Linked DNA regions of Cricetulus griseus. The protein of the gene in region 4 purifies or fractionates together with the protein of the main gene of each other region. This does not show direct contact. Links are inferred from orthologs where the notes say so. Each region holds a gene or a part of one and is shown on either strand. Other genes may lie near its edges.

Evidence for each region.
Region 1: the proteins of Bcl7c (region 4) and Actl6a purify together in Homo sapiens (affinity purification with mass spectrometry; 3 studies listed by BioGRID and IntAct, counting the BioPlex papers as one, with this or other methods). This does not show direct contact. The link is inferred for Cricetulus griseus from reciprocal best matches to the Homo sapiens genes BCL7C and ACTL6A.
Region 2: the proteins of Bcl7c (region 4) and Smarcd3 purify together in Homo sapiens (affinity purification with mass spectrometry; 3 studies listed by BioGRID and IntAct, counting the BioPlex papers as one, with this or other methods). This does not show direct contact. The link is inferred for Cricetulus griseus from reciprocal best matches to the Homo sapiens genes BCL7C and SMARCD3.
Region 3: the proteins of Bcl7c (region 4) and Smarcd1 purify together in Homo sapiens (affinity purification with mass spectrometry; 5 studies listed by BioGRID and IntAct, counting the BioPlex papers as one, with this or other methods). This does not show direct contact. The link is inferred for Cricetulus griseus from reciprocal best matches to the Homo sapiens genes BCL7C and SMARCD1.
Region 5: the proteins of Bcl7c (region 4) and Arid2 purify together in Homo sapiens (affinity purification with mass spectrometry; 3 studies listed by BioGRID and IntAct, counting the BioPlex papers as one, with this or other methods). This does not show direct contact. The link is inferred for Cricetulus griseus from reciprocal best matches to the Homo sapiens genes BCL7C and ARID2.
Region 6: the proteins of Bcl7c (region 4) and SWI/SNF-related matrix-associated actin-dependent regulator of chromatin subfamily E member 1 purify together in Homo sapiens (affinity purification with mass spectrometry; 5 studies listed by BioGRID and IntAct, counting the BioPlex papers as one, with this or other methods). This does not show direct contact. The link is inferred for Cricetulus griseus from reciprocal best matches to the Homo sapiens genes BCL7C and SMARCE1.
Region 7: the proteins of Bcl7c (region 4) and Smarcc1 purify together in Homo sapiens (affinity purification with mass spectrometry; 4 studies listed by BioGRID and IntAct, counting the BioPlex papers as one, with this or other methods). This does not show direct contact. The link is inferred for Cricetulus griseus from reciprocal best matches to the Homo sapiens genes BCL7C and SMARCC1.

The regions. Positions count from the first base shown.
Region 1 is NW_023276806.1:116,635,123-116,639,183, reverse strand, and holds part of Actl6a (actin-like protein 6A), read left to right. Parts: intron 1-767; coding exon 768-829; intron 830-1,044; coding exon 1,045-1,159; intron 1,160-1,393; coding exon 1,394-1,474; intron 1,475-3,173; coding exon 3,174-3,269; intron 3,270-4,061.
Region 2 is NC_048601.1:97,911,402-97,916,240, forward strand, and holds the start of Smarcd3 (SWI/SNF-related matrix-associated actin-dependent regulator of chromatin subfamily D member 3), read left to right. Parts: upstream 1-1,701; 5' UTR 1,702-1,853; coding exon 1,854-1,931; intron 1,932-4,641; coding exon 4,642-4,839. UniProt on the Homo sapiens protein: Involved in transcriptional activation and repression of select genes by chromatin remodeling (alteration of DNA-nucleosome topology).
Region 3 is NC_048595.1:396,147,794-396,151,854, reverse strand, and holds part of Smarcd1 (SWI/SNF-related matrix-associated actin-dependent regulator of chromatin subfamily D member 1), read right to left. Parts: intron 3,770-4,061; coding exon 3,634-3,769; intron 1,985-3,633; coding exon 1,862-1,984; intron 704-1,861; coding exon 602-703; intron 480-601; coding exon 426-479; 3' UTR 1-425. UniProt on the Homo sapiens protein: Involved in transcriptional activation and repression of select genes by chromatin remodeling (alteration of DNA-nucleosome topology).
Region 4 is NC_048596.1:73,056,595-73,061,205, forward strand, and holds the start of Bcl7c (B-cell CLL/lymphoma 7 protein family member C), read left to right. Parts: upstream 1-1,646; 5' UTR 1,647-1,894; coding exon 1,895-1,986; intron 1,987-2,458; coding exon 2,459-2,537; intron 2,538-2,926; coding exon 2,927-3,035; intron 3,036-3,112; coding exon 3,113-3,277; intron 3,278-4,611. UniProt on the Homo sapiens protein: May play an anti-apoptotic role.
Region 5 is NC_048595.1:392,800,744-392,804,804, forward strand, and holds part of Arid2 (AT-rich interactive domain-containing protein 2), read left to right. Parts: intron 1-60; coding exon 61-257; intron 258-620; coding exon 621-3,463; intron 3,464-4,061. UniProt on the Homo sapiens protein: Involved in transcriptional activation and repression of select genes by chromatin remodeling (alteration of DNA-nucleosome topology). Required for the stability of the SWI/SNF chromatin remodeling complex SWI/SNF-B (PBAF).
Region 6 is NC_048600.1:113,358,555-113,362,615, forward strand, and holds part of SWI/SNF-related matrix-associated actin-dependent regulator of chromatin subfamily E member 1, read left to right. Parts: intron 1-2,300; coding exon 2,301-2,473; intron 2,474-3,175; coding exon 3,176-3,277; intron 3,278-3,936; coding exon 3,937-4,061. UniProt on the Homo sapiens protein: Involved in transcriptional activation and repression of select genes by chromatin remodeling (alteration of DNA-nucleosome topology).
Region 7 is NC_048597.1:217,698,822-217,702,882, forward strand, and holds part of Smarcc1 (SWI/SNF complex subunit SMARCC1), read left to right. Parts: intron 1-458; coding exon 459-635; intron 636-3,014; coding exon 3,015-3,109; 3' UTR 3,110-4,061. UniProt on the Homo sapiens protein: Involved in transcriptional activation and repression of select genes by chromatin remodeling (alteration of DNA-nucleosome topology).

The DNA.
Region 1 (4,061 bases), on a different chromosome or scaffold from region 4:
TACAGAGTGAATTCCAGGACAGTCAGGGATACACAGAGAAATTCTAAAAACAAAAAAGAAGATGCTTTTAGTTCATGTCAAACTTAGTATAACTTAGGTATGATTTCTTCTCTAGCATTAATTAGACATTCAGGAGTATGTCTCATTGCTTCAACAATGAGTCAATGAGACTTTTTACTGAAAATCTGTGTCTGAATATGTAGACCTATGTGGGTGAGAGGTTGGTATATTTGCCATTCCATAGATTCTAATTTCTAGGAGTAAAGGAATATGAAAGCCATAATTGACTAAGTGTATTCTGAGAGCATGTTGCATCCAAGTTTATATGTGTTAGAATGTGTGCTGATGATTCTGTGCAGACATCAGACAAGGTTTCCCATGTCAGCCTGTAGTCAATAGAAATTTCTGTGTGTGAGATGTGACCTGTCTGCATGTCACATATTCAGGTGATAAAAATCTTGCTTTTAAAATCAAGGAATTTTTAAGGAAAAGAATGATGGGGCAGTGGTGCAAGTTCCTGGTTGTTTTTTAATCTTTGTTATTCCATAAGTATTGTAATTGAAATGTACTTAAATTGTTTAATTGCAACTACAGAAATGAGTTTAATTTCTGTTCTAAGTTGTAAATCCCAGGTAACCATAGAATTGGGTGTTTTGATACTCACTTAGCTATGTGAAGCTGATCTGATGTCATTCACAGTCTGATACATAGAGTGCAGGTTACACAGGCAACTTTCCACCTTGTTTCTTTCTTCTCTCTGTCCACAGTGTGTCATCCAGGATTTTCAAGCTTCAGTCCTTCAGGTGTCAGACTCCACCTACGACGAACAGTATGTTTTCTCTGTGACTGTACTTCAGAAATAAGGGATTTTGTTTGTTTACAAACAAAGAGTTGAAGTGTGTGTAGCCTAAAAACAAAGTATATTCTGATGCTGTTCTTAGGTATTTGTACTCTGACTCCTCACAGATTGATAATTCCTTATAGGTGGTTTATCGTTTGAATAGGGTTAGTTACTTTTTGTGAAATACTGTTTGCTGTTTGCAGAGTGGCTGCGCAGATGCCAACTGTCCACTACGAATTCCCCAATGGTTACAACTGTGATTTTGGTGCAGAGCGGCTAAAAATTCCTGAAGGATTATTTGACCCTTCCAATGTAAAGGTGTGAAGCCAATTTCATATGACTTTGATAAGGTCGTGTGTGTGTGTGTGTGTGTGTGTGTGTGTGTGTGTGTGTGTGTGTGTTGTGTGTGTGTGTGTGTGTGTGTGTGGTGTGTGGTGTGTGTGTGTGTGTTTATATGACCATTTCATGCAAAGTGTGGCTTTCCTGTGTGGAGAACTTAGACTAACTTTGGCAATAGGAATTTCCATGTGAACACTTGCACTCTCGTTCCAGGGATTATCTGGGAACACAATGCTGGGAGTCAGTCATGTTGTCACGACAAGTGTTGGAATGTGTGACATTGACATCAGACCAGTAAGTGCCAGTCTCCTGTTAAACTGTCTCTTATGGCAGTGAAATGTCCCACCCAGATTAGGGCTGCAGCTTTGGCCACTAGCCTTGAGGGCTGTTGGTAACCATGTGTAATGAGATGGACACCAGGAAAGGGGTGTGGGACCAATGACACCCAGTGCCCCTGACACTCAGCTCAGATCTTGAACTGCACTCTCTTTTCTGTGAACATGGTTTGTAGGTGCTCTACTGGACAGCGTATTCCTAGAACACTTCCATCTTTACAAAGTTTCTTTGGACATTGCTGCTTCAGATTTCTAAAATGTAGTAAATCAAAGTACACAGAAATTGGTGACTTCTTGACATTTGCTTGTAGTTTTCAGAAAGGTGTGGTTTAAAATATGCAGCTTTTACATGGATTATATTAATTATTTTTGTATTTGTTCTGTCAAGTGTTAAACTGTTGGTATACTATATTGACTTGATTATATACTGTACTTACTTAGATTAGTTATAATTTATTAAGCTATAGATTTATTTCATAATCTACTTTGTTTACAACCCACATACTACCTTGGTTTTCTTCAAGTTAATTTGCTTAACGTATGGCATGAACAGACTTGAGTGTATAAACAAAGTACTCACAAAAGGTTTTTGAGTGACCATGAAAATAATATCTTTCAAGTGACCTAGCAACCTGTACCACTTCCAGGACAGTGGAAGTGTTAGTTTAGAATTTTCAAAAACATGATTTTTTTTGTGTGTTATGTATGAAGGGTCAGTTTTGTGAACATCACACGGGTCTCAGGAATCAAACTCGTGTCCAGACACACATAGCCATCACCTGTAACCCACTGAGCTATTTTTCTGCTTTAAGTTTTGAAATTTTTTTTTTTCTTCTGTGTAAGGGCAAGGAATTAAATAAATTTGCAAGAATGGGGCTGTTTGTACTGAGATTGTTTTCTATTTACTTAATGTTAGCAGGTGGGTCCCAATTTTGCATTTTCTGTTTCAAAACTTAGATGACTTTTAGATGCTTGGGATAGGTTTTAAAACTAGGAACACAGTTAAAAGTTAAAAGAGAAGGCTGACATTTACATTTTGATAAATACATGCAAATCAGGAATAAATATATCCCTATGAATATGAAGTTGTTTTATTTGGGAGGTGCAGCCTGTGTTCTTAAATTTTTGCAACATCCCCACAAAAGAGAAAGAACAAAGGATCATTATCTCTCATGATCATAAAACAATTGTCTTATTTAAAATACCATGACTTCCAGATGAATACAGATAAGTATCAAATATACCTCTATCATTAGTTTCTGTCTGCCAATAAGAATTACAAATTGAAGAATATTTGTTCTAAGTTAGTGGCTCTGGGCTGGCAAGAAGGCTCAGTGTGTAAAGGTGCTTGCCAACAAAGCCTGTTGACCTGAATTTGATCCCCAGAATCCACATACTGGAAAAAGACCCACTTTTCACAAGTTCCTCTTATCTCTACACAAAAACTATGACATTCTCTCTCTCTCTCTCTCTCTCTCTCTCTCTCTCTCTCTCTCTCTCTCTCTTTCTCTCTCTCTCTCTCTCCCATACCCACATACACACACACACACACTAAATAAATAAATTGGGAAAACAATGAAGTTGGTAGCTGGGTCCAGCTACCAAATGATACTATAGGGTTATTGGAAACATTTGGAAATGATACGTTTCTCTTCTAGGGTCTCTATGGCAGTGTGATTGTAGCAGGAGGAAACACGCTAATACAGAGTTTCACTGACAGATTAAATAGAGAGCTTTCTCAGAAAACTCCACCAGTAAGTTTTTTCTGTTCTTTGTGTTATTTAGTTTTGTGGAATTTATTAGATAATTGTGTGCCTTTACAGTGTGAATAATATCTATTATTAATCAAGATGTCCTACGTAACACCTATTGTTCCTTTTCTATTACTTGAATCTCTTTAATGTTTATGTGTGCTGTGTGCACATGTGTGGGTACATTCTCCCTGCATGTTTGTCTGGAGGCCACAGGTGAAATTAGGTATCTTCTATCTCTCCACCTTATTGGCACACATAGACATTGACATATAAGTGGGCACCCAAGAATGTGCATTCACATACACTCACAGGGCAAATGGTAATTTTCAAAGGAGAGGAGAATCTGGAGGGGTAATTTACATACATTAATATAATACCAGGTGTAATAGGCTTTTAATGGTGTTATGTGTGTCTGTAGAAATTGTCTGTTTTTGGCTACTCCTGTTTTACACATGCTGTATGTTTATAGTTAGAAGTGCTATTTGGGTGTCTATACACTTCCATGGTTGACATCTGCCTTCACCATACTGCATTGTTGGAGATGATGCTCTAGACAGTGGTTCTCAACCTTCCTACTGCTGCGACCCTTTTATACAGTTCTTCATGTTGTGGTGACCCCTGATCATAACATTTTTTGTTGCTACTTCATAACTATAATTTTGCTACTGTTATGAATTGTAACGTAAATACTTGATATTCAACCCCTGTAAAATGGTCATTTGACCCTAAAGAGGAAGCTGCAATACTTGTTCTGACCATTGGATTTCATAAAAAGTCTATAAATACAACTAT
Region 2 (4,839 bases), on a different chromosome or scaffold from region 4:
TGAGTGAGGCCAGGAACCAGGGTCTGACCTGGGTCTTAAAGGGTGAGTGTGATGGGCCAGGCAGAGGGCAAGTGGAGGCATTACACGGTGGCAGAAGAGCCTCAAGGCTAGCAGATGAGGGAGGGTTCCCACGCAGATCATCACTAGAGCTACCTTTATAGCCCTGGCTGCTGGTCAGCCCACCGTGAACCAGTGTCTGCCACACCATCTGAACAAGGCGTTCTCTCTAAACCTTTCACAGTGACAGTGGGCGCCTGAAAGGGCAATGACAGCTAGGCACACTAGCAGGACCTGCAGGAAACTAAGGTGCTGGCCCAAAAGACTCCTGGGAGAACATTCCCTCTGTTGCTTGTCCTGGCCAATGAAGACATTCTGCAGGGCCAAAGGTTAGGCCCCCTCCGTGCAATGCTGGGTCCTGAGGGCTCAAATTTTAATGTGTTCCCACAAATTCCCTCAGGCCTTGTCCCTCCCTCATCCTAGTTCTGACAGCTGCCGTCCCAGGAAGCCCATAAGTGTGACCCTTAGTTGTCCCAAAGCCTGCGGGCTCCTCCTCCAGAAGGTGGGAACAGGCGTGGCTTCTGGCATGGGCGGGGCCTGAGCTCAGCCTAGGGATCTCCTTTCTGTTCTCCCTCCACTCGGGGGTCGGCCAGTTCTCTCCCTACGGTCCTTTCCGGGGCTCCCTCATCCTCTCCCACTCCACACTCCTGCTTTCTCTTCGGTCCTGGAGCGGACCTCAGCCCCCCAGCCCCCCTGGGTCTCCATGCCAGAGCCACCAAACCTTGTTTGCTCACTCTTTCCTCCTTACCCACCCAAGTACGCATCCCGGCTCGGCACGATTCCCCACACTCACTCTTCCTGTGCTCAGGAGCCCAGTCCATGTCCCCTTTTCGGAAAGACTTTCCCCGGTTGCCCTCACTTTCCCACACAGAGGCAAACAAAGACTCACGAGCCCAGAAATAGCCTCCCTCCGAGCTGGAAGGCACAGGCCGTGTCCTGCCCCGCGCGCACGCACGCTCGCACGCTCGCACGCGCAGGCACGGCGGCTCCCGTGGAGGGAGCACACCGGTGCCCGCACATAAACATCCACACCCTCGGCCGCTGCGCCGAGCCACAAAAGGGTGCAGACACGCGGAGCGCGAGGCACGGGCACACCCACGGCGGCCGGCCCTGGACGGCTGCAAGGCCCGCTCCCGGCTCGCCCGCCCCCCCGCCCCCGGATTCCTTCCAGCAAATGTTTCCCTACTTGGCCTGCCCGGTCCCTGGGGAAAGGGCCTCAGAAATGCTGCAGGAGCCACTTGGGGGAAGAAAGTTGGAACTGCCCGTTCTCTGCCTGGCCCTGCCGGCGAATTCCCCAACCGAGAAACTGTTTGTGGAGAAAGAAGGCAGGGTGGCGGGCAAGCCCCCCCCCGTCCCCTCCCTAGACTGTCCCTCCCCGTGCCGCCACCGGCGAGCCTCCGGCGGCCTGGGCGCTCGCTGCCCGCCTCGCAGCCGCTGGGCGGACCGGCCTGGCTCGCCGCGTCTCTGCGCCGTTTGGACCACGCGGGTGCACGGGAGGGCTGCTGTGTCCCCGCGCGTCGCAGGCAGACCCCGGGCCGCCGGACTATTTCTGTCTTATCAGTGCAGGAATGCGGCAGCCGCGGCGGCGGCGGCGGGCGGCGGCGGCGGGCGGGCGGCGGCGGCTTGGGCCGTGGGCCGTCAGGGCAGCCCTGAAGGGGCCCCCTCCCCACTCCGCTCGAGTAGAAGTGTGAGAGAGCCCAGCAGGACTCAGAGGGGAGAGTTGGAGGAAAAAAAGGCAGAAAAGGGAAAGAAAGAGGAAGAGAGAGAGAGTGAGAGGAGCCGCTGAGCCCACCCCGATGGCCGCGGACGAAGTTGCCGGAGGGGCGCGCAAAGCCACGAAAAGCAAACTTTTTGAGTTTCTGGTCCATGGGGTGGTGAGTGGGGGAAAGTTAGCGGGGGAGGGCGAGCGAGCTGGCTCGGGCTGAATGGAGGGATGATCGGGAAGGGCCGCCGGCGCGCTCCCGCTCTCCCACCCCTTTGGTTGGGGGGCGCACGGTCACGGCCCAACCCTGGGACCTTGCCGGCGCCCTGGCATCCGAACACGTCGCCAAGCGGTCGGCTGGGGATGGGCGCGCGGCGGCAGGGAAGAGAGGCGTCGGCTTGGGCTCTTGTCAGGGGCAAGGGGTGGGATGTGGGCACCGTGCCCCCCAAGAGGTGGGTCCCCTCTGTAGCTGACACGTCGCCCGTTCTTTTTTACTGGTGGGCCCAGGTGTTACCCCTGCCCTGGGGTGGGGGTGGGGTGGCGACTGGAACACACAACTAGGGTTGGGCTGCCTGTTGTCCTGTTCATCCACAGGGGCAGTGTCACTCTGACTGGGTCTGAGGAACTAGGAGCAGGTGACCCTGGAGGCACCTGAGAGCAAAAGCTCCCTGGCTGAGCAACCTCTGCAGCCTAGCAGGAGGGTCCTGAGGACTTGGCCCTGCTGTCAGAGCTAAGAGAGGCCTACTTAAGAGATGGACCCCAAGTTAAAGGGGTCAGGGGATCCCTTGGCAGGCTCAGCCACCAGAAGTTGATGACCTTAATACCTCAAAGGTGTGAAGGGATGGAGTTGGGGACATGAGGCCTAGAGATCAAAGGGTTAACACTATAGTGTCCTGCCACAGACATGTGAAGGCACACGAGGGACCTGAGGGTTCCAGGGACCTGAGGAGGGAGATGACTGGGTTGAGTCAGTGGAGAGCCTGGCTGTAAGGCGCTCCAGGCTTGGGGATATGTGATAGAGGGAAAAATCAGTCAAATTTACTATGGCCAAATTTGGTTGTGACTCCAAGAAGCACCTCCTCAGTGAAAGAGGCAAGGGCCCCCAAAACCTTGACCTCTTGTGATTGTGGTGCTGGTGGCAGAGCCCCTGGAAGCCCCTTCCTCTCAGTAAACCAGACAGTGTGGGTGGCCTTGATGAGTAGCAGGGCAGCTGATAGGGAGGAGGGCTTCCCTGTGGCAGCCTGCCCTCTAGCCACAGGGATCTCTGGGGTGCAGTTCCCAAGGCAGTCCTGTGGGTTAGTGGAGTTACCAGTCCTAACCTAGCTGCCTGGGGGAGTTGCTTTACAGAGTCCCATTCAGTGAAGAGGAGGCTGCCCATGTGGATTTGAATATGGCCAACTTGGAGGGTCAGTCCTTGAGTGATCAAGGCCCCCTTATTAGTAGTGGGGAATGACTAGGCCTGGCCTTCCACCCTGGTGGCACTGGTGGTATGAGTGACAGAGTCAGGTGGAATGGGGGAGGCAAACTCAGGAACTGGCCGGTTACACTACAGAAGAGATGGCCAGGGACAGCTGCTGGTAGAGGGTGGTAGAGGGTGGAGACCTTTGGTCTGAGCAGTCGGGGTTTCTTGGTTCTGGGGTGAGATGAGGAGTATTTTGTATTTGTTTATTGTGTATTGAGGCAGGGTCTCCTGTAGCCTAGGCCTCGAACTCACTATATAAGGGAAGATGGTCTTGCTCTTTCTGTCCCCACCTTGAGATTGGGATTACAAGTGCAGTTTCTTTGGTGCTGGGAATCGAACCCTGGGCTTCACATGTATTGGGCAAGCACTACACCAAGCTACATCCCTAGCCTGAGATGAGGGTGTGTAAATAGTAGGGTCTGCACCCCCACATCACCTCCTTGTTCCTGGTTAGCCCCTAAACCTCAACTCCCTTTCCAGGCCTGGACAAGTGGACTCTGGAACACCCCGCTTGCGTTTACACCTCTTCTGTTTTGATTGACTGCCCAGAGGTGGTGGCTGGGGAAATACAACCTGCCTCATTTCCCTCCAATTTGTACCCTTACTAGGATGGGGTGGGTACTGGGTTCTCTCTCTGATGTAGGCAGATGGGAGGGAGATGTGGCTTCCTTCAACCATCCCTGCCCTCTGGCAGCCCACTTCTAGTCCAGTTCCCCACTTGCCACTCGGAAAAGCTCAGACCCTCGGGTGCCTTTGCCCAGCCTCTTGTATCACCTTGGGAGAAATGAAATTAAGGAGGCAGACTAAGTCAGAGACCTGGAGTCAGCTGAAGGGGTTATTTGAACACCAAGGGTCCAAACCAGGGGTGCTGAAAGGGAGATGGGGGCTCACATACAAAGCCCCAGAAGTGGGCTGTAGAAAGCAGGAAAGCAGCGGGGAGCAAGGCCCGTCAAGGTGCTGCCTTTGTCGGGATGAACGGGGTGACCTTGGCGAGGTCGCTTTTTCTCTTTGAGCCCCAGTTGCCCCATCTGTCAATTGGGGATAAAAAAGACCGGCTCTGGCTGGCTTGCAGAAGACCGTGCCTGCCGATGTGAACATCCTTTGAAAGGTTGAAAGGCGCCATTAATATTCATTTTTGCGGTACCTTGCACGGCTCCGAGGCTCGGCTATGCCCTGGGCAATTGCCTGGCTTCAGTTAGCTTCCTGCAAGGAGCCGGCGAGCCCCCTCCTCCAGAGCCACGCAGATTCCCGCGCCCCCGCCCCTCCCACAATCACTCCCACTCCTCGCTCAGCGCAGGGTTACCAGCCCCGGGTCTTGGAGAGGGGCGGGGACACAGCACGCTGGCCTGGGGGTCGGGACCGAATCTGACCTGTCGGCGCCGGTTTCTGCTTCACCTCCCGCCCCACCCCACCCCCCCAGCGCCCCGGGATGCCGTCTGGAGCCCGAATGCCCCACCAGGGGGCGCCCATGGGCCCCCCGGGCTCCCCCTACATGGGCAGCCCCGCCGTGCGACCCGGCCTGGCCCCCGCGGGCATGGAGCCCGCCCGCAAGCGAGCAGCGCCCCCGCCCGGGCAGAGCCAGCCACAGGGCCAGGGCCAGCCTGTGCCCACCGCCCCC
Region 3 (4,061 bases), on a different chromosome or scaffold from region 4:
CCCGAGGCCTGAGTCTCAGAGGAGGGGACAGCTCCCAACACCTGGGTCTCCTCCTAAGGGCAGGATCAGTGTAGCTGGTCTCCCTGAAGACCACCTGGCCTCAAGAGGCCCCAGTCATTTCAGAGCATTGATTACCACTATGGGTTCTCTAACACTATCTAGAGGTCCTATGTAGACCAGGGATGGGGTAGGGAGGTAGAGGCACATGGGAACTTCGTGGGGAGAAGCTGAAGGGGAAGGCTGGGGTGAAGAAGAGGACAATAGGTGCCTGTGAAACAGAAATGTGACACCCTCTTCATCGTGATGCTATCCTTGAACCAACAGCATCTCCTGGAATGCCTCAAGCAAAACCAGCACAGGTATGTTGAGGCAGGCAGCACAGGGCCCCAACAGAATTGGTGCAGCCAGTGAGGGCGGTAGAGGCCCTATGTATTCCGGATTCCTAGGGCTTGCTCTAACTCTTGCCGCCTCTGCTGCACCTGAAGAGAAAACAGGAGTGGAGCTTGAGACATCGAAAAACCCAACACCCCTGACATCCATTCAAAGGTACAGACTCCTGTCTTTTGTCATCTCTCTAGTGTGCCCCAGGCATAGCACCAACCTTGGAGTAGAAGTATCGGCACACAGCCTCCTGAGCCCAAGGCTGGAAGTAGAACTCAGCACGGCGTTCCTCTTCTGGGTTACCTACCACATCAGTCATAGTCTGAGAGAGAAGGGGAGAAGAGAACAAGCATGATTCCTGCTTCCACATCTGCTCTTCAGTTGAACTGTGTCCCTTGCCACCTGCCTCAAAGATGCTGAAATTCTTTTTTTTTTGTTTGTTTTTGTTTTTTCGAGACAGGGTTTCTCTGTGTAGCTTTGGAGCCTATCCTGGCACTCGCTCTGGAGACCAGAGTGGCCTCGAACTCACAGAGATCCGCCTGTCTCTGCCTCTCGAGTGCTGGGATTAAAGGCATGCGCCACCAATGCCCGGCTAGGATGCTGAAATTCTAATTCCTCTGTGCATGTGACCTGATATGGAAATAGGGTCTTTACAGATGGTCAAGTTAAGATAAGCTCATTGGGATTGGCCCTAATGCAGTATAACTGGTGCCCTTATACAGGAGGGAAATATAGAGACAGACACAAAGACACAATGAAGACACATGGAGAATGTCTCAAGCCTAAACTGAGGGACACCTGTGGTTCCCAGAAGCTAGTGGAGAGCACAGAACAGCCCTGTTGATGCTCTCCTTCTGGACTTCCAGTCTCCATCACTGGGAAACAAACTCCCATTGCTGAAGCTACCAAGTCTGGGTCAGGCTTCTTTAAAAGCCCCAGCAGACAAAGACAATACCCCAGACTACCACAGAGTCACCACCAGGTGCAGGCCCTTTCTGGTGCTCCTCTGCTCAAAAGTGCACTAGTCACAGCAGTCACAGCAAGGCAGGACGCCAAGGATGCTGCCCGGGTACACCTCCCTGCCTGAGCGTATGATGCTCTTCTTTGGGAAGCATCCTCAACTCCATTCTCCATGGTCTCCCAGGGATTCTCCATTCATCTACTACTCTTTCTTTTGAACAACTTTACTAATTCCAGTTAGTTTGCCCATGGTTCACTATTTTTAGTAACAGTAGCCTATTTTTTCCAAATGGAACACATCTGTGGAAGAGGAGAGCCCAGATCTTCAGCTCTAACCCAACAGCCTGGAATCAAGTGACAATACTTTGGAAGTATTAACTATAGACCTGATGGTTCTGCCTTGATTTCCCTTATCAACTATAAAACAGACCCTGGGATATGCTAAAAGAATGTGGTCCCTTAGCTCTTCAAACCATGCTGCTCTCCTGGATTCCCTCTGGGTCCTTCCTAGGCTCTTTACCTTGAGGTCCCGGCACTGGGACTGAAGCCAATCATTGATGAAACCTTGAGGGTCTCGGGCAAAGCTCAGCATGAACTCTCGCTGGGTTTTCAGCTGGTTGATAGTTTCTATTGTCTCATGGATCTGAAAGGAGAATGGTCCATTTTTAAGCCAGGGAAACTGCAAGCCAAAGGCAGACAGAGGCTGACATTGCCACAGCTGCTCCCACCCCAGGTGCAGAGCCTGCTGCCCTGTGTCTACTTGGTGCCCTCACCCTTGGCTTCTTACAAAAAGTCCTGTGTTTGCTTCTCTATCCCAGGTAGGGGAATTTGTTCTTTCAGCCAATTCAATATGCATCACTACAAACTGTGACTACTTTATCACTGGCAGTCCAGAGTGTCATGTTCCAACAAATCAACATGCTTTCTTGGCATCTCAAGACACCCTAAAGGGACCCCCCCCAAAAAAAAACCTGGTCATCCTTCCCCTAATCCCTCCTCCTGATCTTAGTGGAGACTACTCTCTACCCAAGCCAGGTCTTCTCTCTTAGGCCCACCCAAACAGGGGGTACATTCCTTCATTTCACTTTGATTCTCAAATCCTATCTCTGTCCTCCCTGTCTGAGCCTTTAGTGTAGAACCTTGACATATCTCACACAGACTATCAGTCTCGCCTCCGAAATAGACTTGCTCCAGAGCTGCCCCTCTTCAACTCTCTCCACCCATCCACTAACACAGACAGCATTAGTACTTCCATGGTGAAGGCTTCTATAGGCTCCGTGTCGCACCTGCAGGAGGTATGCACAAGTTCTCCCCATACAGAAGCTTTCTGACCAGGTTCCCACTTCCCTAGCAGCCTCCTCTGCCTGAACATCACACCGGGAAGGTAGCTCATGTCCTGTCCAGCATGACACATGAGAGAGTTCTGCACTTCTGGTTCTGAGGTAGTCTGTACTCCTAACTAGCCTGCAGCTCATTATGTACACAAGACTGGACCTGAATTTGTGTTGCTTCCTGCTTCTGCCTCCAAGTGCCAGGGTTACAGAGTGAACCACCATGCCTGGTGTCGCTTGTATTTCTGGGACCACACCAGGCTCATTTTCCTCCTTGGGTTTTTACATACCTTATCCCGTATCTCTCTGGATTGTCCTCGGCCTTCCACACCCCAAACACCACTTTGCTTCCTCCCCATCTGTTAACTTCCACTTCATCCTTCAAAATTTACCTAAGGTGTCTATTCTCCCAGGAAAGCCTCTACATTATCTATGGTATTTACAAAGCACTTTGGCTTTGCCTGCAGGGACTATGCCTATAATGTTAATGGTAATGATGGTGGCAGCATCAACAGCAGTGGGAATTATATGCTGGGTACAGGCTCAAATATTTAAAAACATGGTCTCATTTCATACACAGAGAAACCACATAAAAACAGGTATCATACATAGTCTTCATTTCAGATACCAGAAACCGAGGCTCAACGATACTAAAAGGTATTGCCCAAACTGGGCACAGCAGCTCCTATCTGTAACTCAGCACTGTGGAACATGACATAGGAATATCATCCATGAGTTTGAGGCCAGCCTAGTCTACAAGGGAGAGACTGACTCAAAATGCTAACAACAAAAACACAAACATCCAATAGTCAGAATTAAATGTATGCATGTGAGCTTGCCTCCAATTACCACCAAACATAGCGATAGCCTGACATAGATGGTTCTGGGTATCAATATATTTTTAGTTAAAACCAAGAACCAAAAGGCAGTTAGAAGCCATGACTGAGGGATGGGGCCCTACCTTGTTGTCTAGAGTAGCGATCTCCTGCTGGCTGGCCGTGGACAGCAGGAAAGAATTCATCTGGGTCTTCAAAGTGTCATCCACTTCCACATCAATGTCATAACAAGCTGTCTTTTTCTGGTCATTTGGGTCAACACTGGGGAGAAAACAACAGGGTCCAGTAAAGGGCTTTTTCTGAGTTCCTGCTTGCCAAAGGTCAGAAAGATGGTCTAGGGATGAAGGGAAAAGGAAGATGGTCTACATCCTCCTCTGAGAGCTGTATGGAGTATGCACCTCCGAATGCCTGCACTTTAAATAGGTATAATTTATAATATACAAACTGTAACTCACTAAATTTGGTTTTTATTCTATTTACTTATTCTGTGGGAGTGCATTTGCCCGTGCACACTCACTATGTAGGTGAGAGGACAATTTGTGGGAGTAAGTTC
Region 4 (4,611 bases):
GTGGCTGCTGGGAATTGAACTCAGGACCTCTAGAAGAGCAGCCAGTGCTCTTAACCTCTGAGCCATCTCTCCAGCCCCCATTTTAAGAAACTTTTAGGAAACTATAATATACAAAAGAAAAATTTACAATGCAATAAATGTATATCTGGACAGATTAAATAATAGGGTGTGACAAGCTCCCAGAAACCCCTTCTTCCTTGCAGCCCCAAAGGTGATCACAGTCCTGACCTCTCACACCATAAATGTGTTTGCTTTCTGAATTTATACGGTAGAACTTTCTAATGCATGATGTCACATCTGGCTTCTTTTATTCAAGATTCATCCCCAGGGGCTGGAGAGATGGCTCAGAGGTTAAGAGCACTGACTGTTCTTCCAGAGGTCCTGAGTTCAATTCCCAGCGACCACATGGTGGCTCACAACCACCTTGAATGAGATCTGGTGCCCTCTGCTGGCATACAGGCAGAAGACTGTATACATAAGAAATAAATAAATAAAAATCTTTAAAAAAAAAAAAAAGACTCATCCCCACTGTTGGGCATAGCAGGACTTTGATCATTCTGGCTGTTATATCTGTGTCCATGGTATAAACAGGTTGTAACTGGTTTTTCATTCCATTCTGCTGAGGAGTTGCTTCCCGGTTGGTGTTATGTGTATACCAGTACACATGTCTTGGTGTTCATATAGAAGCATTTTGTCCTAGTGAGGTTTCCATTGCTGTGATAAACACCATGATTAAAAGCAATTTAGGGAGGCAAGAGTTTATTTCAGTTAACTGTTACAGTCCATCGTGAACGGAAGTCACGGCAGGAACTCAAAAGCAGGAACCTGGAGGAAGGAACTGAAATGGGGGCCATGAAGGAACGCTGCTTACTGGCTTGCTCCCCATGGCTTTCTCAGCCTGCTCTCTTAGAGTACCCAGGACCCATCTGCTCAGGGGGTGGCATTGCCCACAGTGGTCTAGGCTTTCCCACATCAATTATTAATCAAGAATATGCCCCACAAACTTACCTATGGGGCAACACGATGGAGGCATTTTCTCAATCAAGGTCCCTTCATCCCAGATGGCCCTAGCTTATGTCGAGTAGACAAAAAACTAGACAGCACCCATTTCTTCGGTTGGGCGTTGACAGCTTGGGACTGGAATTGCTGGGAGACCGGGTTGGCATAAGTTTAGCTTCCCTGGAGAACTGCCAGTTTTCCAAAGTATCTCTACCAATGACACTCCCTGACTGAAGGAATGTCGAGGTGTTCTGCTACCTCATCTACACGGTCTGTCTTTTCCACTTCCGCCATTCTGGCTGAGGAGGCCGCTCCCCACTCGAAAGTCTGCCACGCACTTGGCGCTGTTAATGAGACTTGGATGAACGGGTGAACAAGTTAAGTTGGGCAACGTAGGATCGAACAGCCTGGAGAGGGCGGACGCACGCACACACAGCATTTCAGGGACGCCCACCCGCCGCGGACGCACACCAGGACAGTCCCTCTCGCGCACCCCTGTGCCCACGTGGCCGGAACGCACCGCCTCGCTCGGGCCGCGCGCGTCCAGCCGCACAGCTGCCCCCCAGCTCTCCCTCTCGGCGGCGGGCAGAGGGCGCTGTGCGTCCGTGCGCCCCGAGGGGCGGGCCCGGGCCGGGGCGGGGCTGGCCGGGCTTCCAGGCCGGGGCTCTAGCCGCCCGCGCCGCCCGGGCCGCTCCGGGGACGGGCCGGGGCGGGGCGCGGTCGCAGGAAGCCAGGCGGGGACGCGCGGAGGCGTTGGGGAGCGAGGGAGGGCGCGGCCAACTCCCGGAGGGACGGCAGGCCGAAAGAGCGGCGCCGGGGCCTGGCGCGCAGCCTGAGATCGCCGGACCGCAGGCCGTCCCACCACGGGCTCTATCCCGGCCCCAGCCCCGCCAGCATGGCCGGCCGGACCGTGCGGGCCGAGACCCGGAGCCGGGCCAAAGATGACATCAAGAAGGTGATGGCGACCATCGAGAAGGTCCGGAGATGGTGAGCGCTGCCCCTGGGCCAGGGACACAGCCAAGCCACCTCCTCCTAAAGCGTCCGCCCTTTCCTGGCCAGCTGCCCCCGCCCACCAGCTGTGCTCTGAATCGACTGGGCTCCCCCTTCCCCTGGCAATTCCCAGAGGTCTACAAAGCGTGGTCCGGAGTGGTGCTTTCCCAGAGCGGGAGCCCTCATCTATGCCCCGCCCCCTGGAGCTTTGACACTCTTGCAAGCTCGGCCCCGGGTCTTCCTTGCCAGAGTCCCTGGCCCAGGCCTTGGTGGCGCCCTGCCGAGTGCTCCAGGTGTCTGCAGAACCGCAGCTCTAAGTTATATCCGTCTATGTCCTGGGCTTTGCAGGGCTCTTTCTGCTTCTATGCCCTGAAAGCGAAGCTTCCCTTACCCTAGCACATCTCCCCGGCCCCCTGCTGTATGGGGCTCAACCTTCACCTCCCTGACCGGGTCTCCTGCCCTCTCACAGGGAGAAGCGCTGGGTGACTGTGGGTGACACTTCCCTTCGAATCTTCAAGTGGGTTCCTGTGGTGGATCCTCAGGAGGAGGTGAGCAAGCCCAACCCCCAACAGACCTTGCATCTGTGCAACCTCAGGCAATTTCCCTCCCCACCTTGGCCTCCACCTTAAGTCGCTTGGAGTCTCCAGTGTGGAACTCAGGCAGATGGTAACGATTATTAGCACACACACATGCGCGCGCGCGCACGCACAAATACATACATACATACATACATACACACATACACACACACACACACCACACACACACACCAGTGCGCCCCGCCCCCCCCCCCGCGCCCCGAGTTCAAGACCTAACTCAGCCCACACAACCTGAGACAGCCCCTCTTGCTTCCCTGAGCCCAGGTTTCCTTATTTATATTGAGATTTGTAAGCGCTCACCAGACAACGGGCTCTTACCTTACCACTCTAACCCTCAGGAGAGGCGTCGGGCAGGAGGCGGGACAGAGAGATCCCGTGGCCGGGAGAGACGCGGCAGGGGCACCAGTCCCAGAGGGGGTGGCCCCCTCATCCTGTTGGACCTCAATGGTATGTACAGATCTTGGAATGGGGAGGTAAGGAAGCTACTGGGGCCCCTCTGGCCAACAACTCGGCTTTTGCTTCAGCAGATGAGAACAGCAACCAGAGTTTCCATTCAGAAGGTTCACTGCAGAAGGGCACTGAGCCCAGCCCTGGGGGGACTCCTCAGCCCAGCCGTCCTGGGTCCCCGACTGGACCCCCAGAAGCTATTACAGAGGATACTCAGCCCCCACAGTTGGGCCAAGAGAGAGGTAGGACCAGGTGGCTCTCAGGAGCCCTCTCCTCTTCAAAGTTGAACCCACCATCTTGTTCTTGTTCCTCTGTCATGTCCTTTCTCCCCATCCTGCCCTGCCCACCCCCAACCTTCCCTGACCCTGGCAGAAATTACATCTAGCTGCTGTTTCAGTCCTCTGGCTTCTTAGATTTGTAGGTAGCACATCACCATCTGAAATTTTTATGCATATTTATTTCTTTGCTTGCTTATTGTCTTTTCCTGTTACCATCTCATGTCAGTCATGCCAATCTCGCTCATTACTGTAACATCAGAGTACTGTGGGATACATAATAGATGTTCAGGAAATACTTGTTGGGGGAATAAGTGATTCTGATGATCAGAGAGATTAATAGCTGTAGAGTAACGGCTAGCAAAGCCCCTTCCCCGCTAGGTGTTCTGAGCACTTCAACGTTTGTTTTTTGTTTTCTCGTTTAATCTTCACTGTCACTTTATGGGAGGATGATCCTATTACGATTGCTCTTTATACACGAGGAGCCCGTCATCCAGAGAAAGATGTCCAGACTCACAGAGCCAGTGAGCCAACACCTTGGGCCTGAGCCCTCTTCAGCCTCTCTCTTCATATAGTCGGTCCTTTGTCTGGTCAGTACTGCTTCCCAAGTGTGGCTGATTTCTGTGCCTCGGGCCCTGCCTTCTCACTTCTTACTCTGCCTGCTCTGGCCTCCCCGCCTGTCCCTAGTGGTCTCCACACAGCTGCAGAACAGCTTTTCCTGAAGCACAAATTCAAATGATTATTTTTCTGCCTCATCTCTTTCAGTGGCTCCACATGGCCTTTGGTTCGTTTTGTTTTGTTTTGTTTTGTTTTGTTTTGTGGAGCGGGGTTCGAGGCAGGGTTTCTTTGTGGCTGTGGAGCCTGTTCTGGAACTCACTCTGTAGACCAGGCTGGTCTCAAACTCAGAGATCCACCTGTCTCTGCCTCCTGAGTGCTGGGACTAAAGGCGTGCGCCACCAACACCCAGCAGCCTTTGGTTCTTTAGTTTGACACTGGGGCCATACAAACCGTTACCACTGAAATCGTTCCCCCGACAAGAACACCACGACATGGGCGGGCCTCAGGACCATGTCTAGATTGTTCCAGATACCTTTGCTAATGTGAAATGATAGGATGCAGCTCAGTGGTAGAGAGCTTGTCTGACATCCTCATTTCTCATACCACAAAAATGAATGAATGGAAATGCTAGCTAGCACCTACCGAGCACATACTATGTGCTAAGGGCTTTACCAGTATTGCTTCATTTCATCCTCATAGCCGTCTCTTGTGGTATTACTGTCACTGTTCCCATTCTGCAGGTG
Region 5 (4,061 bases), on a different chromosome or scaffold from region 4:
GCTGGGGGCAGTGCTGTACTTTTGTCCTGTTTTTCATAATTAGTGTGTGTTATTTTACAGAACAGTTTTTCCAAATCATACAGTGAAGAGAGTGGAGGATTCCAATAGCAGTGGGCAGGCACATATTCATGTCATAGGAGTGAAACGGAGGGCTATACCACTCCCCATCCAGATGTACTATCAGCAACAGCCAGTTTCCACTCCTGTTGTCCGCGTTGATTCTGTTGCTGATGTGTCTCCAACACCTTCACCTGCAGGTATTAACTTTCAATTTTAATATTCATTTATTATATATGCAGTCAGGTCTTGCTGTACAAACCATGCTGGCCTCAAACTTGGGGTCCTTCTGAAAGCTGGGATTACAGACAAATGGCAGTATCCCCAAGTTTTTCAATGTTTTAAGGATTGCTAGAATGTAAATGTGTATTTTGTATATTAAGTGATGGCCTTGCCCTGTGCTGTTTACAGTGTTTCTCATGGGTGTCACCATACTCTAATGTTTCCTGTCTTTTGGGCATTAATTTCTTTACACCCTTCCTCTTGTATTAAATTAGATAATAAGACATTTGACATCTTACAGTCATTTTACTTGTAACTTTTATTTTTCCCCATATATATAGGAATCCCTCATGGATCACAAGCTGTAGGAAATCATTTTCAGAGGACTCCTGTTACCAATCAATCTTCAAATTTGACTGCAACACAAATGTCTTTTCCAGTACAAGGTGTTCATACTGTGGCACAGACTGTTTCTAGAATTCCACCAAATCCTTCAGTTCATACCCACCAGCAACAAAATGCTCCAGTGACTGTCATTCAGAATAAAGCCCCAATTCCTTGTGAAGTCGTTAAAGCAACAGTAATCCAGAATTCTCTGCCCCAGACAGCAGTTCCTGTGAGTGTTGCTCTTGGAGGAGGACCTGCACAGACTTCTGTGGTTCAGAATCATAGTACAGGGCCACAACCTGTTACAGTTGTGAATTCTCAGACATTGCTTCACCATCCATCTGTGATGCCACAACCATCTCCATTACACACAGTGGTACCGGGACAGATACCTTCAGGCACTCCTGTTACAGTAATTCAGCAAACTGTACCACAGAGTCATATATTTGGAAGAGTACAGAACATACCAGCATGTACATCTACAGTTTCACAGGGTCAACAGTTAATCACCACATCACCACAACCTATGCACACTTCATCTCAACAGACAGCAGCTGGTAGCCAGCCACAAGACGCTGTTATCATAGCACCCCCACAGTATGTAACAACTTCTGCATCCAATATTGTGTCAGCAACTTCAGTACAGAATTTCCAGGTAGCTACAGGACAGGTGGTCACCATAGCTGGTGTTCCAAGTCCACAGCCCTCCAGGGTTGGATTCCAGAACATTGCACCCAAACCACTTCCTTCTCAGCAAGTTTCATCAACAGTGGTACAGCAGCCTATTCAACAACCACAGCAGCCAACCCAGCAAAGTGTAGTGATTGTAAGCCAGCCAGCTCAGCAAGGTCAAACTTACGCACCAGCCATTCATCAAATTGTTCTTGCTAATCCGGCAGCTCTTCCAGCTGGTCAGACAGTTCAGCTAACTGGACAACCAAACATAACTCCATCTTCTTCACCATCACCTGTCCCAGCTACTAATAACCAAGTACCTACTGCCATGTCATCTTCTTCCACCATGCAATCGCAGGGACCACCTCCTACTGTCAGTCAAATGCTATCTGTGAAAAGGCAGCAACAGCAGCAGCATTCACCAGCACCTCCCACACAGCAGGTACAGGTACAAGTTCAACAGCCACAGCAAGTACAGATGCAAGTTCAGCCTCAGCAAACAAATGCAGGGGTTGCTCAGCCTGCTTCCAATGAGTCTAGTTTGATCAAACAGCTGCTGCTTCCAAAGCGGGGTCCTTCAACCCCAGGGGGTAAGCTTATCCTCCCAGCACCACAGATTCCTCCCCCTAACAATGCACGAGCTCCTAGCCCTCAGGTGGTATATCAGGTGGCCAATAACCAAGCTGCTGGTTTTGGAGTGCAGGGGCAAACTCCAGCTCAGCAACTATTGGTTGGACAGCAAAATGTTCAGTTGGTCCAAAGTGCTATGCCACCAACAGGGGGAGTGCAAACCGTGCCCATTTCGAACTTACAAATATTGCCGGGTCCACTGATCTCAAATAGCCCAGCAACCATTTTCCAAGGGACTTCTGGCAACCAGGTAACCATAACAGTTGTGCCAAATACCAGTTTTGCAACTGCGACTGTGAGTCAGGGAAATGCAGCTCAGCTCATTGCTCCAGCAGGAATTAGCATGAGTGGAGCACAGGCAGGAGCCGGACTTCAGGTGCAAACGCTTCCAGCCGGACAATCACCATGTACCACTGCTACCCCCCCATTCAAAGGCGACAAGATAATTTGCCAAAAGGAGGAGGAAGCAAAGGAAGCAACAGGTTTACATGTTCATGAACGGAAAATTGAAGTCATGGAGAATCCATCCTGCCGACGAGGAACCATAAACACCAGCAATGGGGATACAAGTGAAAGTGAAATACAGGTGGGAAGTCTTTTAAATGGGAGAAAGTACAGTGACTCGAGTCTACCTCCTTCAAACTCAGGGAAAATTCAAAGTGAGACTATTCAGTGCTCACTAATCAGTAATGGGCCATCCTTGGAATTAGGTGAGAATGGAGCATCTGGAAAACAGAACTCAGAACAAATGGACATGCAGGATATCAAAAGTGATTTGAAAAAAACCCTCGTTAATGGGATCTGTGATTTTGATAAAGGAGATGGTTCTCATTTAAGCAAAAACATTCCAAATCACAAAACTTCTAATCATGTAGGAAATGGTGAGATATCTCCAGTAGAACCACAAGGGACTTCAGATGCTACTCAGCAAGATCCTGCCAAAGGTGATGAACTAGAAAGAGTTTCTAATGGACCTGTATTAACTTTGGGTGGGTCACCGTCCACAAGCAGCATGCAGGAAGCTTCAAGTGTGGTAACACAACAATTCAGTGGTACTGACTTGTCTAACGGACCTCTAGCTTCAAGTTTGAATTCAGATGTGCCTCAGCAACGCCCAAGTGTAGTTGTTTCACCACATTCTACAACCCCTGTTATACAGGGGCATCAAATCCTAGCAGTTCCCCACTCAGGATCTAGAGTGTCCCATTCTGCCCTATCAACTGATGTTCGGTCTACAAATGGCACAGCTGAATGCAAAACTGTAAAGAGGCCAGCAGAGGATAATGATAGGGAAGCAGTCCCAGGAATTCCAAATAAAGTAGGAGTTAGAATTGTTACAATCAGTGACCCCAACAATGCTGGCTGCAGTGCAACAATGGTTGCTGTACCAGCAGGAGCGGATCCAAGCACTGTAGCTAAAGTAGCAATAGAAAGTGCTGTTCAGCAAAAGCAGCAGCATCCACCAACCTACATACAGAGTGTGGTCCCACAGGTGAGTCCTTTTGTCTTGTTTGTTTCATTGAAATGCTGTCTGGAAACATTAAATGAATCATGTCTCAACTTAAGCAGTTATGGTGTCCGCTCATGTCTACGCAAACTTCCCTGTTGTGCTCTTTATTTATTAAACAGTTTTCAGTTCTTCACTCTAGCATTCAAGGTAAGGATTTTTTTTTTTTTTCAGTTTTGTATATGCAGTTTCACCTTGCATGGTAGATGCTATTATCTATGTACCTGACAGGAATGCCCACTGAGTGTTAGAAAATTCTAAGTCCCAACTCCACATGTTGGGATTTTTCACTTACATAATGTAATGTTTAATTTTTTAAAGTTTTACTATATATGAACTTCTCAATTCATTTTGATTATATATGTCTGATTGATTTTTCCTCTTGGAGTCTGTAAGAACTCTAAATAAAATGATAGTTAATCAGACTAAATTACAGAATAACTCTAATGTTAATAAAATTTACCCTCATTTTGTGTGTTTTAATCTTCCATTATGATGATCATTACACTATTCAAAAAGGTTAGCTCAGTAACCAAGAAGAACAGTGGAGTTAGCTGGTGTTAGGACCTCACCAAGGACAATA
Region 6 (4,061 bases), on a different chromosome or scaffold from region 4:
TGCTAAAGATATATGCAGACTTTAATTACCCAGATGAAATAGTTGATGCAAGAAAGACATGACTAAAACTATAGAGGAGCAAGTCTGCAAATAACTGGGAGAATGGAGATCTATGTGGTAGAAACAAAGGTTGGCAACATAGAAGCCATATGTAGAAAATAAAATATTTCCTAAGCAAAATGTAACAGTCAAAACTAAGTTTGAAAGGCTCTTACATGAGCAGTAACATGGAATATAATAATTAAGCTGTATTGATATAATATGACCTTCTAGGACAGTGGTTCTCAACCTTTCTAACATTTTGACCCTTTAGTAAAGTTTATGTGGTAACCCCAACCGTAAAATGATTTCATTGCTACTTCATAACTGTAATTTTGAATTACAGTTATTTTGTTATTGTTATTCATAATTGTTATGAATTGTAATATAAATATCTGATATGCAGGACATCTGACATGTGACCCTGTGAAAGGGTCCTTTGACGCGCACGCATGCGCGCGTGCGCGCGCGCACACACACACACACACACACACACACACACACACACACCCACCCACCCCAGGGAGTCAAGACCCATAGGTTGAGAACCACTGTTCTAGGACTTGAAAAGTAGAAATGTAAAGAAAACCGAAAGATAGGAGCCACTCATCAAGAGATGAGGACAGCATCTGCTAACTTCTTAGAGAACTATCAGAAGGCCCACAAGGCAGAGCTTGATTCACCAAGACGGTAAAGGTCTTCAGAGACCATTATGTTCAACGTGCAGGCCTTTGTGTAACTGGGTTCCTTAAGCGTGACACCTAGACCTCTGTGAGACACTAAGAGGATTGGGTGGTTCCGTGACAACCTTTATTTCTATCTATATTGGATGGAAAACTTGCTTTGTTTAGTGAGTTAATGTAAAGAAAAATATTAAGTAGCTATTAGTACAGATGGCTACCAGGTATTGAAGGTGATAAAGCAGATAAAGGAAACACTTGTGTTACTAGAAATACGCATACATGCTGGGTATGGTAGTACACACTTGCCATCCCAGCACTTTAGAAACTAAGGCAGGGAGGCTGATGAGTGTTCAAAGCCAGCCTGGGCTACACAGTAAATTTTGTGTCAGAAAAAAAAAAGAAAAAAAAAAAAATCACACCCTGGGCTCAAGAGATGGTCCAGTAGGCTGAAACAGGCATGCATGCATCACACACCAAAATAACACAAATGTCTACTCTGTGCCTAGTAACAGCCATGTGCATGTTTATAAATTTAGACTCAAGTATCTCTGAGTGTGTAGTGTGTGTCCGTGTGTGTGTCGATGTTGGGTCTCTTCCTCAGTCTCCACCTTTTTGTGGGCATATGTGGGAGTCAGTTTGCTTCCTCAGTTTCTTTTCTGCCTTACTTTGAGATAGAGTTTCTCTGAACTTAGAACTTGCTGTTTTAGCTAGAGCCTTCTGAAATCTGCCACAACCAGCATTTCCTTAATGCTGGCTGGGATCCAGATTTAGATCCTCGTGCTTGCCTGGCAAACCCTTTATCAAGTGAACCCTCTCCTAGCCTTGAAATCAAGTTGTTGTTTTTTCTATAACATTAGTTTGGGTCTTTACCATTTTTAATGTAATAAACCATAAGTACTGCCTGGAAAACAAAATATTGCTAGAGAAGATGGTGATAAGCTAATTTTTCAGGTGGATATTTTCATTAATTTTAACAGCTGTGATAAAGATACCACCTATTTACAGTTCAGCATTTATCAGATGTCTGCGGTCATTACTGGAGAGTGGAATATTTGGCAGAATTTCAAGTGCTGTCATCACATGCAGGCTTCACATGGATCCCAGGGCTAAAAGAGATATGGACATATGTTGTTTGTGTTCTAACCAAACCTCAGACTCAAATCATCCCTTAGTACAGTGGTTCTCAATCTTCCTAATGCTGCAACCCTTTGTTAATACACTTCCTCATTTTGTGACCTCCAACATAAAATTATTTTGTTGCTACTTCATAACTAATTGTGCTACTGTTACAAATCACAGTGCAGACATCTGATATGCAACCTGTGAGAAGGTCGTTCAGGTGCCCAACCCGGGGTTGTGACCCATGGGTTGTGAATCCTGCCTTACTAACTTTATGGAGACAACATTTCAGCTGGCTGAGTCTTCTGTCTCTGTGTGGTTCTAACTGTGGACCTGCCCTACTCCCCTGATACTGAGCAAGTCCACTTGCTAGGACATTGAAGACCACACTTGATAACTGCTTCTTAACATGGTTGTGGTTACTGGCTACCTAATTTCTAGAATATTTCCTTCATCCAGATTATGATGATGGCTTTTCGATGAAGCATACAGCCACCGCCCGTTTCCAGAGAAACCACCGCCTCATCAGTGAGATCCTCAGTGAGAGTGTGGTGCCTGATGTGCGGTCGGTTGTCACAACAGCTAGAATGCAGGTCCTCAAGAGACAGGTCCAGTCTTTAATGGTTCATCAGGTAAGGGCAGAAGAGCTTTTGTTATAATAAAAGGAAGCTGTGCCACACATCCCAGGTGACATGGCTCTGACACAGTGTGTAAGTAAACCTGTGAAGTCGTGTCATCCGTGCCTGACTTGAGAAAGAAGCTTAAGGGAGAGGGCCATTCCAGATGTTTAGTAAGTTTGTCATTGAAAATTGTAAATATAACATTGTAGTGACAAGTATATCTTTTAAAAGATGGGTGCAAACTAAAGAATTTGGGGGCACCCCATCAGCCTTTGCTCTATTACTATAAAATGATTTTCCCAAAGAATTTACTCATTAACATAGTGTTAATGGTAGTCTTTCCCTGTGTTACATTTTTAAAATAATAGCTAGATTTTATACTAGATGATTTTTTTTTTTAATGCAAAATTAGTGGGCTAGAGAGATGGCTTAGTGGTTAAGGGTATATACTGCTCTTCAGAGAACCTGAGTTCAGTTCCCAGAACCTGTGTGAGGTGACTCACAACCACCTGTAACTCCAGCTCCTGGGAACCCAACACCCTCTTGTGGTCTCCCTGGGCACCTACTCTTGTGTATATACCACATACACATAATTAAAAATACAAAAGTGTACTTTAAAGCATAAGCTAATTTTAAAATGACATTCTCTGTGTGCTTTACATCTGCCTTAGAGAAAACGTATAATGGTTCATAATCTGGTCTGATACCTTGCAGCGAAAACTAGAAGCTGAACTCCTTCAGATAGAGGAGCGACACCAGGAAAAGAAGAGGAAATTCCTGGAAAGCACGGATTCCTTTAATAATGAGCTTAAAAGGGTACCTATTCCATTCACTGACTGCCTTTATCATGTGCCTGTTACGTCACAATGTAACTTGTACTGTCTTTATAAAAGTGTTCCCATTTTCTGGAAAAATTACAATAAATTTGAGGTATCGTGTAGTATACATTTAAGGAGTAGGCCCACAGACAATAGAGCCCGCTAATGCTTTTGTTTAAAATCTTTACATCGTGAATTATTTTCACTTTATTGTAATTTATTCATAGATGTTTTCATTAGAACTGTAGTTCAGTTAGGGGTGGTGCTATGTACCTTTGATCCCAGGTAGAGGTAAGAGAATCTCAGTGAGTTCAGGGCCAGCCTGGTCTACTTAGAGAGACCCTGTCTCAAAAAAAAAAAAAAAAAAACTTAAAAAATGAATTAATGAATTGAGTAATGGAGTGTTTGGTAGATGAAGGGTGAGTGAAACATCCTAAGGCCAGCCCAGTCCTAGGCAGTGCTCCCAGCAGCCCCTGCGCTTCAATGTCTGGTGTGCTACTAGAGCAGCTTTTTTGTCCTGTGCAGTTTGAGGACAAAACACTGCTTTGTTTTTCTCCCTCATGTAAATACCATTATTGAGCCAAGGAACAACTTACCTGATTCCAAGGTTCAAAGAAGAAAGTATTGCTGAGAGTTCTCTGCTTTGTTTTTGACTAGTTATGCACTCTGAAGGTGGAAGTAGACATGGAGAAAATTGCAGCTGAAATTGCACAGGCTGAGGAACAGGCCCGCAAAAGGCAAGAGGAGAGGGAGAAGGAGGCAGCAGAGCAAGCTGAACGCAG
Region 7 (4,061 bases), on a different chromosome or scaffold from region 4:
CTATTCCTGTATACTGGGGGTTGAACTCACACAGCCTCTTAGTTGTGAGGAAATCATTTTTGATTTCTTAAGACAGGGTTTCTCTAGCTTTTGACCCTGTCCTAGAACTTGCTTTGTAGACCAGGCTGGCCTCAAAGTCACAGAGATCCACCTGCCTCTACCTCCCAAGTGCTGGGATTAAAGGTATCTCTCCACCACCCAGTATATTTTTTTGGTTTTTTGAGACAGGATTTTTCTATATATCCCTGGTTATTCTGGAGCTCACTCTGAAGACCAGGCTGGCCTTGAACTCAGAGATCTGCCTGCCTCTCCCTCCCTAATGCTGGGCTTAAAGTCATGCACCACTACTGACCATGACTAAATAAATCTTCATCTATATAATCATGGACATTAAGTTGGTTATTTTTTTTTCCTCTGAATGCATGTATACTTACAATACTTTAAATCTCCCTCCACAGGTCAGATACCGGGCCCTGGCTCCATGATGCCTGGGCAGCCCATGCCAGGCCGCATGATTCCCACTGTGGCAGCCAGCATTCATCCTACTGGGAGTGGCCCTGCCCCTCCTGGTATGCCTCCAATGCCTGGAAACATCTTAGGACCCAGGGTACCCCTCACAGCACCAAATGGCATGTGTAAGTAGCACAGTGGGAAGATATTCCTTCAGCATCCTGCTTAGGGTGGGGCTGCTGATCAGGAAGAAAGGCTTTCTTCTCTTCTTGTGATGTAGCAAGCACAGACAGTCCAGCCTTCGACAGTGAGCTGTGGATTAGATTAAACCTGACTGGTTTGAATCTCCACTGACATGCATAGCTCCTGGCTGTTATTTCCTCTACAAAAGCTTTTATGCTGCAAGGTTAAAAGTGGTGAATTGGCTCAGAGGGCAGAGGCAGGGGGATCTCTGAGTTTGTGGCCAGCCTGGTCTATAGAGCGAGTTCCAGGACTGTTAGAGAAACCCTGTCTGGGGGGGAGGGGGACCCCTTGTCCTGCCTGAACTTTAAGTAGGAAACAAGAAGGAAGGAAACTTGATAGGAGTATTCATCCCTCTACTTCTTGACTGTAGATGAAATACAACCAGTTGACTTAGCAACCATGACTTCCTGCTGTAATGGACTGTGTTCTAGAACAACAAACCAAATTAGACATCTCCTTTTAAAAAGTTTAAGTAGGGTTTAGTAAAAATTATGAGAGATGTCTGGTGAGATGTTGAGTGGGTATAGGCACTTGGAGACAAACCTGATAGCATGAGTTTGATTCCTGGGAACCTGCATGTTGGTTAAGAGAACTTACTTCCACAGTTACACATGCTATGGCACAACTATGTATGCATGCGTGATACATACAGAAAATAAAAGTTCTACAGGGACCTACAAAATATTTTGGATGCTCTGTAACATTGCAGGGGGCTTCCTCGAAGGGAAGCTGTCTTCACACAGACACATGTACACCTTCCCTGTAAATCCCAGAGGCTAAGATAAAGTAGATACACAAAAGGAAGTCTTGGCTTCACTGAGTTTATAAAACCTGCCCCCTGTGAAGAATTGTTTCCCTTGAGCTTACGTTCAGATGTCATAGTAGAATTTGCTAAGAAAGTGCTTGTCCTGCCGGGCCGTGGTGGCGCACGCCTTTAATCCCAGCACTCAGGAGGCAGAGGCAGGCGGATCTCTGTGAGTTCGAGACCAGCCTGGTCTACAAGAGCTAGTTCCAGGACAGCCTCCAAAGCCACAGAGAAACCCTGTCTCGAAAAACCAAAAAAAAAAAAAAAGAAAGTGCTTGTCCAGCCATGTCCCAGGTAAGAAAGAACTGGCTTTCCAAGAGAGCTGGCCCAGTCAACCATCTCTGGTGGACAGATAATATCCCTGGAACTATCAATGGTCTATATGTTTTTTGACATTAGGGACCTTGGAGGAGCATGGAGTGTTTTACCTTATGGATAAACAGGTCTCTTGGGAATCAAAGCCTCTGGCTTGGTTCTTGGGCCCTGGACAGGCCTCACTGCATGAGTAGCTTCCTGTCCTCAGGGCTTAGTCTCCTCAAAGATCACAAAGGAGGAGACTATTAGATTCAAAGTGTTTGGAAAGCTGTAGAGGTTTGCTAGAAGCCTCTCAGGAGTGCGAATGGGTGAATGCCTGGTTATTGTAGCTATACTTTAATTATTTGTTTGATATGTTTTCATTTCTAGCAAGATCTAGAGGTTTTAAAGCCTTGGATTAAATGATCTCCAGGGTTTCTTTGTACGCTAAAGCTGCTAGAGTTGAAATAGAAAAGAACCCCAGACATTCATGCTAATTGTTCCCTTCAGGACCTGACCTAGTTTGGGCCAGAAATCCAAGGATGGCAGTTGAGGAGCTGTAAGGGCCTCCCAGGACTATCCAGCTCATCAGCAGGTGCCTGAGTGAACTTCTGTGGCCCTGGTGGAAACAGTTAATCAGCAAGAAGTTATTGATAATCTCTCCCGTGCCTGGCTAGGCCAGACACCCTGGAATAAAGAAAGATAAAGATATAGAGTTTGCCCATGAAGGCTCTGATTATTTAATTGAAGAAACACAATTAGTAGAGAGAAAAATTAGAATACAATAAAATGGAAAAACAATTCAGTTGGGGGAGATCTGGAGTGATTCTTGGAATGAGTGGTCCTTTGAGAAGGGTGAATGAATTCCGACATTTCCCTCTACTACTTGTTAGCACCATGAGTACCAGCTGGTTGGCTGCTGTGTACTTGACCTCTGAGCCCACATTGTTTGCCTGCTACAAAGAAAGTTACTTCCTAAGCTAGGCATGGTGGTACTTGTCTTTAATCCTAGCACTATAGCTGAGGCAGTCAAATATCTGAAATTGTGGCCAATCTGGTCTATATAGCAAGTTCCAGACCAGCCAAGGCTACATAGTAAAATCTTATACCCTCAACCCCACCCCCAAAAAAACCCACCTATCTGTCACTTTCCATTGAGTGGATGCTTTCTCAGGCCTTCCATATTCCCAACAGTGACGAGTTACCTTAAATGTGTTTGCAGATCCTCCTCCACCACAGCAGCAGCCGCAGCCTCCACCTGCAGACGGGGTCCCTCCTCCTCCTGCTCCAGGCCCTCCAGCCTCGGCCACTCCTTAACCTGGAAGATACAGGGAGCCTCCACACCCACCACAAGCTGAAATGGGGATGGCAAGACTTGTGTCTCAGCTTCCTTGGTTTTCTTTTGGGATTTTTTTTTCTTTTTCCTCACAGCCCCAAGCATGAGTCCCATGTCTCTCCACTCCCCAGTACTTTTTGTATCAAGTCCTTAGCTGGTACTCAGTGAGAAGCCTGTGGTGACTAGTGTGCCCTGATCATTTGAAAAGTAAGCCGTGTGCCAGGTGTTGGCAGTTGGTCTGCAGGTCCTGTTGACATTAGTATTGTATGTCTCTCTGTGTTTTCTCTTATGCTTCAGTGGATAATTCTCAATAATTACTATCCTTTCTTCTCCTATTGTTTTTAAGGAGAGCATCCTCAGTTAATAGAAACCAAAAAAAAAAAAAACAAACAAACAAACAAAACTGGTGATGGGCAGGAGACAGTCACAGAGGGCGGGGACACCTTAAGGCATCATAAGTGACCTTATTTCTACTTTTCTGAGCTAAGTGTGGTGCTACAGGTGAGGCCCCTGAGGTTTTACCTCACTAAAATGCACCCAACTGAGAAGAGCTGGGGAAGAAACAGGTATCCTGTTGCTTTTATTCCCCAGTGAGAACTGTGAAGGACTCCACTCTGTCTGGAGGAACACACCACTCTACCTGTATGTGGTACCAGAGAGCACAAACATTAGAAGATCCCATTCCTTCCTTTCCCCACAATTCTGGGTGTCGTGCAGATTTGCAGCGTTGGAACTGGGGTGGTTTTCCTAGGGGCTGTGTGAGTTTTAAAGGTTGGAATTTGGGGAGCCATTCCCTAGGTTTTCCCAGACTAGCCAGGAAAGTTAGAGTCTAGGGCCCCACCCACATACCTTAGAGTCCCCACCCCCACCCCACACACATCTCCCCACACCACCTCACATCTAGCTGAACTTTATGACTTTTTAAAAACTTCC